2 linked regions of the Drosophila melanogaster genome follow. The protein of the gene in region 2 interacts with the protein of the main gene of each other region in a pairwise test. Each region holds a gene or a part of one and is shown on either strand. Other genes may lie near its edges.

What was found. Proteins that work in one complex are often made in the same cells at the same time.
Region 1: the proteins of Ccp84Ad (region 2) and CG30160 interact in a two-hybrid assay, tested with the Drosophila melanogaster proteins (one large-scale study listed by BioGRID).

Annotation. Positions count from the first base shown.
Region 1 is NT_033778.4:7,003,172-7,006,665, forward strand, and holds CG30160 (uncharacterized protein), read left to right. Parts: upstream 1-1,985; 5' UTR 1,986-2,046; coding exon 2,047-2,298; intron 2,299-2,362; coding exon 2,363-2,527; intron 2,528-2,599; coding exon 2,600-2,851; 3' UTR 2,852-2,965; downstream 2,966-3,494. Other genes in the region: Tsp42Ea (tetraspanin 42Ea), read left to right, coding at 49-210, 277-471, 734-805; Tsp42Ec (tetraspanin 42Ec), read left to right, coding at 3,402-3,461.
Region 2 is NT_033777.3:6,690,905-6,694,068, forward strand, and holds Ccp84Ad (Ccp84Ad), read left to right. Parts: upstream 1-1,827; 5' UTR 1,828-1,893; coding exon 1,894-1,905; intron 1,906-1,966; coding exon 1,967-2,554; 3' UTR 2,555-2,623; downstream 2,624-3,164. Other genes in the region: Ccp84Ae, read right to left, coding at 55-669, 788-799.

The DNA.
Region 1 (3,494 bases), on a different chromosome or scaffold from region 2:
TGCATCGTGCCATTCATCTTGCAATTCAAAATGTATTCTTTGTGGCAGTACTCGATCTTGCTGTTCGTCCTGATGATTGGCCAACTGGCTTTGGTGATCTACATGTGGGTGCAGAAGGACAAGTACCTGGAGATCATGGGCGACGTGGTCGAGAAGGCCTGGAACCATCGCACCAGTCGTTCCGACTACATGGACGCGATTCAGATCAGCGTAAGTATTTAGGGACTTCCAAGGACATGTGACCCGCCTTCAACTGACTTTCTGCCGCTCCCGCAGATGAAATGCTGCGGACGCAGTGGCTACACCGACTACGCCTACCAGGGCAAGTTCCCTCCCTCCTGCTGCAGCGACACCAACAACTGCCGCTGGGAGACCGTCTACCGGCGGGGATGCAAGGTCACCTTCGTTGAGTTCTGGGACAGGAACAGCGACATCATCAAGTATGCCGGTCTGGTCATCGCCGCCATCGAAGTAAGTTATTGTCCAGAGTAACGCAATCGAACGAAATCGATCATCGAATCTAGGTGCTTCCCCATGTGAATTTCGAAAATATGATGGATGGGTTCATGTTACCTACCTTCCATTGTGATTTCTTGGGGATAACCAAAAAGTACTAAGTAATGTAAATCATAATTCGTAGCAATGCAGTTTAGTTTGTTATTTTACCATAAGCGTTATGAGATTTACACCTACATGTATATCTTCCAATATACCATACTCTGTTTGCTTTCAGTTTGTGGGATTCGTTTTCGCCTGTTGCTTGGCGAACAGCATTCGGAACTATAGACGCCGTGCGGAATATTAATCGACAAAGGACTAAGGCCTTGCACTAATTTTAATTGAAACCGAAAGTACGAATTATGTTGCCCAATTTTACGAATATTTACCTGATACAGATGGCCATTCAAATTTGCATAATCTCAAGCGTAAGCAGCAAATGCAGCAAATCCAATGACGAATGCGTAACGATCACTTTTGTAAGATCGTTTGTTCAAAGTTACACTGAATGTGCTAATATGTTTAACTGTACAAAATAACTTATACTCCTGGAGATTGCAATAAACGGAGAAATTTATTTACAATTTACGAAAAGAGTTCAGTCTTTGTCTTAATGGGAAAGCTTACATTGTTTGCAATTCGACTTAATCCCTAAAGCACCTATTTTTCTAAATTGCCACGGGAGGATTTCGGCCATTCGCGATAACGTTTTAATCTGCAAAGTAATAAGTATAAATAGAGTTGGCCGAAACCAACAAGTACACTTTGATTACAGATCATTATCAATCATTGGCTCTATTGACATATTTCCGTAGAACTAACCTATCAGAAGACTATATTTAGTTAGTTAGCTTTTTAGGGCTCAGACGAAATCTTATCTCCATTGAGCTATTTTATCTATGAAGGGCACATAGCCGTTTTGTGAATGTCAATGGGAAATTATTCCGCCGTGGAAACCCCAATAGTTGCCAAAATCTTGTTGAAGTTAGGCTGGGAGTGCACTCGCTAAAAGGTTTATTGCTCGATTGATAGTACATAAATCTAGGCGATAAGATCGGGGACTCACGGGGAAACGGACTCCAAGCAACGTAATATGTGAGTCAGCGTGCACCGCGTACTCTTGACTGGTGATAAGGCAAGGTGTGGAGGGTGTGAATGATTCATCTTATGAACGATCTAACGCCCCCAAGATGGAATCGCACGAGGGCTAGATAAAATTCCGCCACCAGCAGTTTGCACCTACCATTCGTTGAATGAATCATTGCGCCAAGGATGTAATTTCCCAGGTTCGGACCACCACAATGATCTGGTATCTCGTGGGTGCAAAGCGATTCACCAAGTACAAGTACATGGGCATCGGAGCTTCCAGCACAAGTACATACGGAATTTTATGGCCGAGATAAGAGCGCAGCCGATAAGATGAGGACTCCGAGTAAGCTTTAATAGCCGCGTTCTGTCCGAGGGCCCATTCAGTTAGACGAACATCGTCACATCGAACGAACGGATTATCCAGCTAGCCAACGAGAAACCCGAACAGAACCCAGCACCATGAACTGTCTATCCGCGATGTTCAAGTACCTGCTGTACTTGCTCAACCTGGTGTTCGTGGCCGGTGGCATCCTGCTCATTGTGGTGGGCTCCATCATGCTCTCCACGATGGGCAACTTTACGGCCTTCGACGGAGGCGTTAACACCCAGACCATCCCGATCTGCATTATCGTCATCGGAAGTGTCACCTTCGTAGTGGCCTTCTTCGGATGCTGCGGCACCATTCGCGAGAACGCCTGCTGCACCACCATCGTAAGCACTCGGAAATCACCCACTGACCGAAATTGGATTCTAAATGACTTGGCATTCCTTTCAGTACGCCATCTGCATGCTGATTCTGTTCGGCCTGCAACTGGCCCTCTCCATCTGGATCTTCGCGGCCAACGACAAGTTCCTGTCCAGCATGGGCAAGGCAGTGGACAAGGCGTGGGATGAGAACAATGCCGCCCAGGGATACCCCATGGATGCCCTCCAGTTGGCCGTAAGTTTATCGAAATTCACCATCAGATGTCATTAGTTTTTTCCGGATATTTACGTATCTATTCCATTGCAGTTCTCTTGCTGTGGCAACACGGGATACCAACAGTATGAAACCGTGCCCAGCTCCTGCTGCGGCTACAAGGATCGCACCAAGGTGTGCGAAGCGGAGATCTACAGCCAGCGACCTGGCTGCCGGCAGGAGTTCGTCGATTTCTGGGCCTCCAATACGGACCTGATTCGATGGAGCAGTCTGATCATCGCCCTCTTCGAGCTGGGCATCTTCATCATGTCGTGCTGCCTGGCCAGCGCGATGAGGAAGCGCTAGAGCCGAAGTCAGATACAATCCTTAGACGTAGCCCAGTTCATAGCATAAATCCAACACACGAATTCCTCACTCACTCACTCACCGTAAATAAACCAGAATAGGTTAAGCCCAATGAAATATTATTGCTTATTCGCTGTCTACCTCTGGCTGCCGTCTATCTAATCAAGACAGGTTGATGTTTTTCCAAAAAGTATGTCCTTATCGGCCTGTTAGCCGAGTGCCGCGTTTCCGAGATCGAATGCCCTCAGTAGTGGTGAATCACCTCCATATGGCAATGGCTATCGATCTCCGCCCGCCGCCCAGTGCCCATTATCTATTTTTCGTTTCGGCCATGATTATGATAACAGGCACTTGCGTATCTTTCCTCCGATAGCGCCCGTGTCTGTTGGCCAATTTAAAAACAGTAGCCCATCTGGAGGAGCAGTCCAATCGAACGACAGTAAACGACGCGAGTGCGCGATAAAATCAGAGACACCGACAACTCCTTTGGATAAAACAATAGTGTTTATTTAATTCTACTAAATACAGGAGCAAACTATATACTTTCAAAATGGGTTGTCTATCGGGAATAGTCAACTTTATTTTATATATTGTCAATATCGTGTTTTTGGTAAGTGCTTGTCGGTTGAGTATCTAAGTAAAA
Region 2 (3,164 bases):
TTATTATCATAGAAACAAAACAAGGGTTCAAAATAACAGCGGTCGCATGGGTGTTTACAATTGGGCGACGGTGTACGCAGGGGCGGTGTACCGCAGAGGCGTGGCATAGGCAGCGGTACGCAGAACGGGAGCGGGAGCAGCCACCGCCAGAGGGGCGGAGCGGACGAACGGAGCGGCAACTGCTAGGGGAGCGGACTTGATCAGAGGAGCAGCGACGGCCACTGGAGCGGAGCGCACAATGGGAGCTGGTGCGGCCAAGGCGACAGGGGCGATGGGGGCGACTGGAGCGGCCTTGACCAATGGGGCAGCAACCTTCAGCAACGGCTCGGCGGCCACAACAGCGGCAAGGGGTTCACGGCGGACGACGGCGTTGAATCCGTTAATGGAATCGGCGGTATAGGTCACGGTGCGCTTAAAGCCATCGGCGTCGATCAGGGAGTACTCGCCGCGGACCACGTCACCATCGCGCTCCTCCACATGCCCCTTGTTGTCGCCGGAAAGCGTGTCCTGCACGTCGTAGCTGTAGGTGTACTGAGGATGCGGATCAACCTCCTCCAACTCAACGGTCTTGGCCAAAACTGGCACCGGAGCAGAAGCCACTGCCACTGGAGCAGCAGTTCTAAGGACGGCGCCATGGGCCACGGCGAACAGAGCCAAAGCGATAACAATCTGCGGAATAAATTACACTCTTTTTAGGATTTTTTTTTCCAAGATAAAAAGGCGAAGGCAGTCTGGTAATCCACTAGTAGTCCCCCGGAACGTTTATCCTCCAATTGGTAGCACAAACCTTTGCTGCCATTGTAGTTGGATGAATTTGATTAACTGCTGTCTTGAGCCGAAGCCAAACACTGAATGTCTGACCCATTGTGGGCCGTTTATTTTATACGCTACTTGGTGACATTGATGACACCTAATTGGAATTCATTTTTGGCGCATCACCTCGAGCGGCGCCGGTGGCATGTAAAAATTGTCACGCACCTTCTTCAGTTCTGCCAATTTCGATCGGTCGAAATAACCAGCTGCACTTAATTGATTACGCCAAGCCAATTTTAATTACTATTTTCCTTAAACTTGGAGTCTTCTTATTCAATTTTGTTGTTTTTCTTTTGGAAAGTACAACAAAGTAAGTGTGTATAATTGAACCCATTTTTTATAAAAAGGGAATAAAAGTTCTGATCTTATTTGTTTAAATATTTGCTAGTCAAATTATTAAATACGTTTTGAGTTTGTATCCATAGGTTTGTCTTGGTGAGGTATAATGAATATTTTATGTTGGGATCATAATTTGATTATTATGTATTTAAAACACATTTCCTACAAAGTTGTATAATTTTATTAACCTACATAAAATATTACAAATATGTTACAAAAAAAAGTTTTAAGCATGTTAAAAAGCTGTTCGCCTGTGAACTATCTTCAAATTTTGGAAACCAAAGGTGGGTGATAAAAAATAATAATTTTAATTTAATAAAGCTACGATAATTTAGATGTTTTGAGTTAATATCTTTTTAAGCGACCTTTTTGCCACAATATTAACTGTCTTGTAAGCTAACTGGATTTAGTAAGCAGTGATGTCACAGCGCACGCTCTCCGTTTCTCTCGGATAAATTGAAGTTATTTGATGACAAAACACAGAGATACAAAGATTGAGCACGCCTTCAAGCTTCACTTTTCCCTCTCCACACACGTTTAGCATAAATGAATTGCACTAATTACGCCAAGAGCGTGGCCCGCCGGCAAAAGCGAGTTCGGCCATTCAATGGTAGCAGCAGCTGAAGAAATAGCTCCATCTCGGTATATAAGCCAAGTGTTGGCCCAGTAGCCCTCACAGTTCATTTTGCCTTCCAACAACCAACAGCAGCAGCAGCAGCAGCCAAATCAATCCAAATCAAAATGGCATTCAAGGTTCGCCCCGAGGACTTAGCCCCGCCAAAGACCCACATCCTAACTGCTTTCCCTCTTTCAGTTCATCGCCCTCTTCGCCCTGATCGCCGCCGCCAGCGCCGGTGTTCTGCCCGTCCAGCAGGTGTACCACGCCGCCCCCGCCGTGGCCACCTACGCCCAAGCACCTGTCGCCGTTGCTCACGCCCAGCCGGTTCTTGCCAAGGCCGCCGAGGAGTACGATCCCCATCCCCAGTACAAGTACGCCTACGATGTTCAGGACTCCCTCTCCGGAGACTCCAAGAGCCAGGTGGAGGAGCGCGATGGCGACGTGGTCCGCGGAGAGTACTCCCTGATCGACGCCGATGGCTACAAGAGAACCGTCCAGTACACCGCCGATCCCATCAACGGATTCAACGCCGTTGTCAACCGTGAGCCCCTGGTCAAGGCCGTCGCCGTTGCCCCCGTTGTGAAGACCGTCGCCGCTCCCGTTGCCCACTACGCCGCCCCTGCTGTCGCCCATTACGCTGCTCCCGCTGTGGTCAAGACCGTGGCTCCGGTTGCCCACTACGCTGCTCCCGCCGTGGTCAAGACCGTGGCTCCAGTTGCCCACTACGCCGCTCCTGCTACCTACACCTCCTACGCCGCCCCCGCTGTTGCCTACCACCACTAAGAACTGTCATTTTACGTTTCTCAACCCATTACTGTTATAGTTTTACAATTGCCTCCTACAAATACACACAAATATTAAAAAAAATTTTTTTTTTTATTTTCATCTATTGATCATCTATTTTCATCAACGGCAGCTGAAACAATTTCGGATTTGTTTTATCCGGATAAAATTGAGTCAAGGAGATAGCGTCTTCATTAATGACATTCTAATGTGTTTCAATTAGATGTGTTAGCCATATTTAATACCTATAAAAAATACTGCAAAATCTTTACAAAAATAAAAAAAAAATCTCAAATATTTTGTTTAAATAATATGTGCAATTTTAAAACCATCAGCTTATATTTTTGATTGCATTAGATATTTTTATATTGATAGGGTATTGATGAAGTTATGATTAAAACTAACAGAGTCAACATAAAAAAGTTAATTCTTGAGAGTTATAGATATAACAATATTATTTTAAATATTTTTTTAAAAATGTATGATATGTTTATACCCTGCGCGTCTATCTAATCAAACTAAGCTTAATAAAATATGCAGTTGATAATAGACTATCAGATACGCTTTAGATATCATCAGCAAGTTTTATAAGTTCGATATCTCGTAGTTC